Sus scrofa: one gene and its partner. The protein of the gene in region 2 interacts with the protein of the main gene of each other region in a pairwise test. Links are inferred from orthologs where the notes say so. Each region holds a gene or a part of one and is shown on either strand. Other genes may lie near its edges.

Evidence for each region.
Region 1: the proteins of AAGAB (region 2) and AP2S1 interact in binary tests that used the Homo sapiens proteins (3 or more experiments, as listed by UniProt). The link is inferred for Sus scrofa from reciprocal best matches to the Homo sapiens genes AAGAB and AP2S1.

The regions. Positions count from the first base shown.
Region 1 is NC_010448.4:52,699,848-52,705,037, forward strand, and holds the start of AP2S1 (AP-2 complex subunit sigma), read right to left. Parts: upstream 3,352-5,190; 5' UTR 3,198-3,351; coding exon 3,195-3,197; intron 408-3,194; coding exon 258-407; intron 1-257. UniProt on the Homo sapiens protein: Component of the adaptor protein complex 2 (AP-2). Adaptor protein complexes function in protein transport via transport vesicles in different membrane traffic pathways.
Region 2 is NC_010443.5:165,137,031-165,141,444, reverse strand, and holds part of AAGAB (alpha- and gamma-adaptin-binding protein p34), read left to right. Parts: intron 1-2,116; coding exon 2,117-2,199; intron 2,200-3,038; coding exon 3,039-3,135; intron 3,136-4,414. UniProt on the Homo sapiens protein: May be involved in endocytic recycling of growth factor receptors such as EGFR.

The sequences.
Region 1 (5,190 bases), on a different chromosome or scaffold from region 2:
CATCCCTGGCCTCACTCAGCGGGTTCAGAATCCAGTGTTGCCATGAGCTGTGGTGTAGGTTGCACATGTGGCTTGGATCTGGCGTTGCTGTGGCTGTAGCATAGACTGGCAGCTCTAGCTCCAATTCCACCCCTAGCCTGGGAACTTCCATATGCTGTGGGTGCAGCCCTAAAAAAAAAAAAAAACCCACAAGGTTGAGCAGGAAGGGTCAAAAGGAAGCAGGGGAGTGTGGGAGGCAGGGGGGAGGGTCCTATCACCTCCACAAAGTTGGTGTGTTTGGCATCTCGGACAGTGACCACGGCGTGCACTTCCTCAATCAGCTTCTGTTTCTCGTCATCATCAAACTGCATGTACCACTTGGCCAGGCGCGTCTTGCCTGCCCGGTTCTGGATGAGGATGAAGCGGATCTGGGGGCAGAGGGAGGAGGAGGAAGGGAGAGAGATGGGGAGGGTGGGCCAGTGCCAGGCGGCCCAGCCCAACAGCCCCACCCGCCCCCACAGGGGAGAGCAGGTCCACCCATCTCAGCCACTCCCCAGAGCCCAGCCAGGCTGGCCTGGCCGAAGGCTCTGGTCCCAAGTCCCTCCCACCACCCCCCACTCCCCCCACCCCCGTGGAGGGATTTCTCTTCCACTGGCGGACGTGCGCTGCGCTGAGTGCCAGGCTCTGCCAGTTCTTGTTCCCAGGACCCGGGACAAAAGATCTGCCCCTCTAAGCCTCAGTTTCCCCACTGGCGGAACAAGTTTCCTTAGAAGGTCCATCTTGTCAGGGTGTTTTGAAGGTTAAATAGGTTTATCAATTTAATCCAATGGCCGATGCTAGCAGGCATGCTCGGTGTCAGCTACAATTATCATCAGTGATGGCTAGGAAATGTGCTTTTGTGATTCTGAAGCGTCAGCTCAACTCTCCTCAGGTGACTATGAACACTGAACAAGTTCATGACAAAAGTGTTTAGTATAACGCTTACTGCTTACGGAGCTCTCGAGAAAATTAGCTATTATGACAGAGAGGCATTTGATCAAGTGGCTAAGAACTCAGGCTGGAGACTGTGCATGAATCCTGGCACTGCTGGCTGTGTGTCTGTGGGCAAATCACTGAACCTCTCTGGACCTCGATTTCCCCATCTGTATAATGGACATAATGAGAATACATCCCTCATAAGACTGTTGCACGAGTTAATAAATATAAGACTTAGGAGTTCCCGTGGTGGCGCAGTGGTTAACGAATCCGACTAGGAACCATGAGGTTGCGGGTTCGGTCCCTGCCCTTGCTCAGTGGGTTAACGATCCGGCGTTGCCGTGAGCTGTGGTGTAGGTTGCAGACGCGGCTCGGATCCCACGTTGCTGTGGCTCTGGTGTAGACCGGCAGCTACAGCTCCGATTGGACCCCTAGCCTGGGAACCTCCATATGCCGTGGGAGCGGCCCAAGAAATAGCAACAACAACAACAACAACAACAACAAAAAAAAAGACTTATAGTACCGTGATGAGTGCACATGAAGTGATATACAAATATTAGGTTGTTGGTTTTTTGGCCAAGACCACAGCCTGTGGAAGCTCCTGAACGAAGGACTTGAACCCTCGCCATGGAGGCAACCCAAGCCGCTGCAGTAATCACACCAGATCCTTAACCCACTGTGCCACAAGGGAACTCCCCAATATTAGTTCTTAGTAATATTATAATTGATTATCATTTGACTTTGAGAAGACCATGGCCCAAGTTTCATCCTGCTAGGAAGCCTGCCTTTGGGCCCCGTTCTGTTTGAGATGGGCACTCTTGTGCCCATTTGATAGATGAAGAAACTGAGGCTCAGAGAAAGGACGTCTCACAGCCAGAAAGCAGAGCTGGGAATCCAAGGGCTTTGCTTTGAACCCACTTCCCCTGACGTGTGTGTGGCAGCCTCCACCCTCTCATAGAGTCCATTCTCTTCCCTAAGCCTCATTCTCCACACACCATTCCTCCTTCCCCAACCAATCAAGCTGGATGGGAACAGGATATTATGGTCTCCTTTCAAGAACACTGTCTGCTGAGCCAGGGAAAACCACTTCCTAGCAAGGCAGGGGTCCTGGGAGACAGGGAGAGGGCACGGGGTGGAGGTGGGGGTACCCACACCAGGCAGCCACTGCCTGGGGCAGAGCCAGAGAAATATGGGGCACACTGAGGGCAGAGATAAAAGCAAGCCTGAAAAGCTGAGGGAGAGCTCTGCCTCTGACCCCCCCCCCAGTTCCCTCATGCACCTCTTCCTGTTTCTCCTCCCAATTAGAGTCTCCCCACTTCAGGGAATCCACCCTCAGAAGCCCTTTCCCTCCTGCACCCTCAACCCTCGGATGTCCCCGCTCTATGTCCCCCAACCTACTGTCTCCAAGCCCTTACCCTAGAGCTGTCCCCTTTCGACTTCCTCTTTCTCGGTTTCAATGCCCTCTGTCAGGTCTCCCCATCTCTGGGGAGGGGTACCAAATCCAGTGGCTTGTCCTTGCCCCCAAAGCCTCATCCCCATCTCTCGCACTCCTGTGCCTATTACCTACCCTCCGTGACCTCTTCCACTGCTCCCCACACATCTCTAGTATCCACTCCCTACGCCAAGCCTTCTCCCTTTTCTAGCACGCTTTCCCTAACTCTAAAGCCCCATTCCCTACAGTTGCCTACTTCCCGTTTCCAGTGTCCAGTCTCTTCCTCTTGAAATTCTGTCTCCTTCATCAGCAGTATCCCGCCCAGTTCCAACACCCCCTCTCCGTCTGCAGTGTCAGCTTCCTGCCTCTAGAGACCCCCGTCTCTCCCAGCCGAAGGTCTTCCATCCTTCTCCAACTATCCGGTCACACTCCCAGAGAGCTCTCTTCTTGGGATGCCCCCTCGCCACCTCCAATTCCTTCTCCCCACCTCGGAGATCCTTCTTCGTGAGTTGCCTGCCAGTTTCAAAACCCTTCAGCCACCTCCAATGTCCCCTCCCGCACAGACCCCTCCTCTTGTCATCCGGTCTCCAAAGCCCCCTAGCCTTGAGAGCCCCGTTACACTCTGGCGTCCAGAACCGCCGCCCAGTCCCCTTCCCCGGCCTTTGGTCGGCCCCAATCTCGAGAGCCCCCGCCTGGCCCAGACCATTGCACCGCGGCCGGGGGGGCTTGTCAGTATCCCACCGCGCCTCGAGTACCTGCACATGGACCCACCCTCTGCCCATCCCCAGTATGGGCGCGCCCCCGTTACCATGGCGACCCCCGTCCGACCCCAGCTTCTGGGAGGCCCCGGTCCCACGGCTTCTGGGAGGCTCGGGCTTTGGCGGCTGTTGGGGCACCCGGGGCTAGAGCGGACTTCCGGCAGAAGAACTCGCCCGCCCTCTCTCGCGCACAGCCGGCTGGGAATTGTAGTCCGAAGAAATGGGGTCGTTCGTCTGAGCGGCACGCCAGAGAAATGGGCCTGTCCCGCGTCCCAGCATGCTACGCGACTATCCTTTTCCTCGCGCAAGGTTCGGTCTCCAAATGCATTCTGGGAGCCGTGGGTGAATGTCTCCTGGCAGGACTACAATTCCCGAAATGCTGGACAGCCAGCAAGGCAAGGGTTGCACTCTAGGAAATGTAGTTCGGACAGCCTTCCTTCTCCCTCCCACCGCCCCCCCAACAAGGCAAGAAGGACGTACTGGGAATAGCTGTTTTAGCAGAACACTGTAAATTAATTGTATTTTAATAACAAACAAATAAATTAAAAATCAATCAATAAGAAACTACGTTGGGGGAGCATGGTCACCCAGTACTTTGTTTAGAATATGTTAAGCGACTTATGTGGGACAGTGGCTTAAGCGCATGAATTTGGAAGCCAGAACTGTATGCAAATCGTGCCTTTATTTCCTAGCTGTGTGACTCTGGGCCAGCAACTTCACCTCTTAACTCAACTTCTTTAACTGTAAAAGACGGTTGATCAAGGGGTCACCTCAGTAGAGTTGTTTTAAAGCATCCGTAAGTTTCCAAAGTACTTAGCCCAGTGCTGGACATATAGTATGTGTTATGTGTTTGTTTGTTTGTTAGGGCCACACCCTCCGTGTGTGGAAGTTTCCAGGCTAAGGGTTGAATAGTAGCTGCAGCTGCTGCCTGTGTCAGAGCCACAGCAACATAGGATCTCAGTCACATCTGCAACCTATACCACAGCTCACAGCCACTCCAGATCCTTAACCCACTGAGAAAGGCCAGGGACTGAACCCACATCCTCATGGATACTAGTCAGGTTCCTTACCACTGAGCCACAATGGGAATTGCCTTCCCCCATTTCTTTGATCGCTGACCTCTTTTCTTCCTTTGGCTTAAACATCACCTCCGCAGTCCTATATGGGGGAACCCAACATACGAAGTTCCCCTCTTCGACCCCCCACATTCTCTAGGTCAGCAGTTAGATTTCTTTAAAGCCTTTTTACAGCTGTTAATGATTTTATTTGGGGTGTGTGTCTCTGTGTGTGTGTTGCCTCCGTTGAGGGCAGGGAACCTGTTAACAATCTACATCCCCTAGAACATGGTGGCACATAGTAAGCATTCAGTAAAGGGATGGATACTGAGGGGAGACTTGCTCTAAGAAAGCAAGGTAAATTAGGAGTTCCGTCGTGGTTCAGAGGTAACAAACCCAACTAGTATCCATGAGGACGCAGGTTTGATCCCTAGCCTCGTTCAGTGGATTAAGGATCCTGCCATGAGCTGTGGTGTAGGTGGCAGACGAGGCTCGGATCTGGTGTTGCTGTGGCTGTGGTGTAGGCCAGAAGCTGCAGCTCTGATTCAACCCCTAGCCTGGGATCCTCCATATGCCGCGGGTGCGGCCCTAGAAAATACAAAAAAAAAAAAAAAAAAGGATATCAGCTGGGGAGTTCCCTTGTGGCCTAGTGATTGAGGACCTGGTTGCTGCTGTGGCTCAGGTTGGATCCCTCATGCCTTGGGTGCAGCCCCCCCTCCCAAAAAAAAAAAAAAGAAAAAGAAAGAAAAAAAAGAGAAAGATGTCAGCTGGGAATGCAGTCATTTGAAGGCTCAATTGGGGCTGAAGGATCTGACTCCCAGGTGGCTCACTCGTAGGGTGTGTTGATTAATGCTGGCTGTTGGCAGGACTCTGTTCCTCACCAGGTGGCCCTCTCCCCAAGGACACAGAGTGTCCTCATGCGGCAGCTATTTTCCCCCAGAGTGAATGACCCATGAAAGGGCAGGGCAGAAGCTGCCTGCAATGTCTTTTA
Region 2 (4,414 bases):
CAGAGGTTTACAGTGTACAGTGCCAAGTCCAGCTCCCTCTCACTCCTGCTCATCCCAGATCCCCTCCTTGAAGGCAGCCACTGTAAAGAATGAGGCATTTTAAATAGACCATTTTGGTCTAATAACATGCCTAAACTGACATTGTCTTGTATTATTCTTCAGGGATTGCCCTCTGGCGTGCCAAGTTTAGGTACTGCCCAACAAAGGAAAAACATAAGCTGTGGAATTGGAATTCGGAGAGATTTGTGAGCTGATTTGAAAATTACCCAAAGTCCAAGTTATTTCCAGTAATAGAAGTAAGGGCCCTCTTGCATCAGTGCTCTATTACTCAGATAAATGCCTTTTGTACAAAGAGCCTAAAGTATTTTATAAGAACTCTCATGTATCCTCCTGACATGTAAAATCCCAGAATACTGTATAACTGCATACAACTGCTTTAAAGCCTATAGCACATTGGCCACAAGAAAAGATTATGTCAGTGTTTGAATGAACACCCCCAGGCTCTGTGAAACCCTCAGTGTGGGACACTTGTCTCAGCCTCTGAGTCTCCCCAGTCTGCCTCACTGAAGCCTGGTCCTGGGATGGGGCTCCCCCAGGTCTTGGGCCTGCAGAGTTCCTCATGGGTGGGCAGGTTGCTGAGAAAGGGGACTCCAGGAGTTCCCGTCGTGGTGCAGTGGTTAACGAATCCGACTAGGAACCATGAGGTTGCGGGTTCGGTCCCTGCCCTCGCTCAGTGGGTTAACGATCCGGCGTTGCCGTGAGCTGTGGTGTAGGTTGCAGACGCGGCTCGGATCCTGCGTTGCTGTGGCTCTGGCGTAGGCCGGTGGCTACGGCTCCAATTCAGCCCCTAGCCTGGGAACCTCCATATGCCGCGGGAGCAGCCCAAGAAATAGCAGCAGCAACAACAACAACAGACAAAAAGACAAAAAAAAAAAAAAAAAAAAAAAAAAAAAGAAAGGGGACTCCAGGAGTACGTGCACACCTTTCACCCCACTGCCACTGTTGAGGTTGTGGAGCAGGAAGCGCAGAGAGCAGCAGAGACCCTGGGTACTGCCCAGCGCCCCCCTAGCCTTCAAGCACAGGTACCGACCAGGTTAGTACCTCTGTACAAGTAGGCCAAGTGTACTACATGAGGAGATGGTAACAGGAGATGGAAAAAGCTCAGGCCTGGACCTCCCCGATGCTACAGTTGGGCTTCATCCTGATTTAAAGGCAAATCTCCCCAAGTTAAAATGGGAGTGAGGGGCCTGCAAGTGGTTTTCTTTCTGTGGGGTTCTGTCAACAGGTTTCACCCACCAGAGGCGAGGACTAGGAAGTTTGGAGGTTGTTGAGAGATGGGTGAGAATGGAGTCAGGGAAGTGATAGGGAGAGGAAAGTGAGGTGGGAAGAAGCCTTTTTGAGAGAGGAGTTCTTTGACCTCTATACTGTTAGACTCTTGAGTGATGTAGGTTTCACTTTCTACTCTCAGGCGCACTGGTTTTTTGTTTTTCCAATTTTCTTGATCCTAAGGACTCTCCTGGAGTACTTGCTAAAAGTTCAGACTCCTTGGTCTCTGTTTAGACAGAAATTCTAACTCAGTCCAAAGCAGGGTCAATATTCAATACTGGGGTAGTCACTGTCCAGGTGACTCTTGGGGAACCCTACCAAATCAGGGCTGGGTTCTGACATTTTGCTCTAGATTTGTCCTCCTTTGTAAATACAAATAGCGAGAGCATTGGGAACCATAACTGCACGAGTAGAGCTTTATTTCAAAAAAACATGAATGTTCATTTTTACCTGATAATAATACCTTGGTATTTGATTCTTTTTAATTTTAATTGTTTAAAACACTGCAATATTAGTTCATAATGACTGTCAGAACACCAGCTCTGTTAATCTTTGCAAACAGAACCACTGAGCAACCTTTTCTTTGTTGTAATGGCCTTGCCATCTACTTGACCTGGACTGATACTCTGTGATTTAAAATTTACCCAGAATTTGGAGAGTATGGTAAATGATGATAACTATTTTTTATAGTTAGAAATTTTATTATTAACTATTATGTTATTGTCACAGTCATTTTAACAATTTAAAATGTAAATAAAAAATTTCAGTGATTGTATTTTTTTCTTTTCAGAGAAGAACCAAGGCTTTAGCCTTCTTAGCTCATTGGCTGGAGCAAACCATAACATTGGATCAGCAGACACCTGCCATTCAGAGGTAGAGATTTTTTTCCTGGATCTTTTCTTTGCTTTGGCTTTAATTTCTACTCATCATTGTGAATCTTTACACCATTTATCATTTCTTCCCTTTCCATTTAAGAAGTGACTGAGAATATTAGAAATAGATAGAAGGCTAATCTAAAATAGCCCTTTTTATGCCTGCCACCTATTGAGAAAAGGCTATTTAGGCATTAAAGCAGTAAGCCCTTTCAAGATGTTTGCAATTTGTGCTGTTGCATGTGTTTTTGCTAAAGTGCTTTTAAAAATATGCCAGGATTTCCTTGAGGCATAAAGTTGCCTCTAGATCTTTAAATATAAAATAAAATTAATGGTTCTTTTTAAGTACTTCCTGTGTACTCTACAACCTGAAGCAAGGTACCTGCCCTTAATGAGTTTAATAAGCTGATTTCAACCCTCTGTCCTCAAGGACTGTGGTCCAGGACGGCTGTGGTCGGCAGGTAGAAGCCATGAGCACGTTCGGCAGTGCCATGTTGTCTTTCCAGGACCTTCTTCCTCAGTCTCTGAGGTCTTTGTGATAGGATCTTACACATTTTCAGATTTTGAAAAAAAAGCATGATCTTAAAACAAAACAGTATGTTTTAATAGTCAATAGCAAAATCACAACACTTGCTAATTTTTCCTTGAGGAAAAACACTCCTGAGTTAGTGGTCTTTTAGCCTTTCTTAATGTGACCTTGATCCTTGTTTCATCTCTCCTGGTCTCTAGTTCCTATTTCTACTTCTCTAAAGCTAACCAGTGGGTGGAAGTGTGAGCCTTTTTGGATTTAGTTCTGAAGCAGCTTCTTAAATTGTTGCTTGCGTGTGTTTTCCTCAACAGCAGCCCTGTTTGCCAGCAGCAGAGAGGACTGAAGCTCTCTTGGATCATCGAGGTGGCGCATCTAACACAGCAGACGCTCAGGTCGATAGCATTGTGGGTAAGCCCCTCCTCTGGCTGCCAAGTGACAGCTCTGTGGGACTTATAATAGTCCATGTATCGGGGCATAAATCATCTGGGGGGGAACTGACTTTAAACACGGACAAGGGAAGAAAATTGATAGTGCACCCCAAATGAATTGTGAGCCTTGTGGACGGATGTCAGAAAAAGGAGGGAGAAGAGTTCCCATTGTGGTGCAGCGGAAATGAATCCAGCTAGTAACCATGAGGTTGCAGGTTCGATCTCTGGCCTTGCTCAGTGGGTTAAGGATCTGGTGTTTCTGTGAGCTGTGGTGTAGGTCACAGACACGGCTTGGGTCTGGTGTTGCTGTAGCTGTGGTATAGGCCGGCAGCTGTAGCTCCGATTTGACCACTAGTCTGGGAACTTCCATATGCCGAGGTGCAGCCCTGAAAAGCAAAAAAAAGAAAGAAAGAAAGAAAAAAAAGGAGGGAGAGTAAATACATTACAGACCTGTAGGTACCATTTTCTTCTTGATTCTCTTAGCAGGATCTTGATTCAGATCATCTTAGCCAAAACAGACAGAAACAGATGGTGAAATAGCTTTCTATTTCCATATTCCACCGTTTTTGGTTCTTTTTCGTGTTTTTTTGTTTGTTTGTTTTTTGGCCACCCCATTGCATATAGAGTTCCCGGGCCAAGGATTAAATCCCAGCTGGAGCTGCTACGTACGCTCCAGTTGCTGCAACACCATATCCTTAACTCATTATGCCAGGCTGGGGATTAAACCTGTGTCCCCGCTACTACAGGGACACTGTCGATCCTTTTGTGCCACAGGAACTCCCATACAGTTTTTTTAATACTATTTCACAGTAGTCAGAATTGATGGTAACAAGAATAACACCTCTTTATAAGCCCTCTCATATCCTTTTAAAGTTCTTTTATGTCCACATTCTCATTTGGTAATGAATTTTGGCAGAGAAGTTATTTTACAGAGATAAGGGTGAGGCCTGGAACAGTTTCATAACTTGTCCAAGAAGGTCCTGGAACTGAAACTGGAAGCCAGTTTGTTGTCCAAAAGCCAGAAAGCCAAGTAGCTTAGTTGACAGTAACTATAAACACTCTTTTGTTGGGGAACTACTGACATCACTACTTCTCTTTATTCCACAGAGGGTCCATGTGCAGTAGTAAATTTAAAAAAAAATTTTTTTTGTTGTTTATAAGATAATATACCTAGAAAACTCGAGTGATTGGTTATAGAAACATATTAAGAAGAAAAAATTAAACACTATCTCTTTTCTCTCTAGTTTATTCAGCCTTGT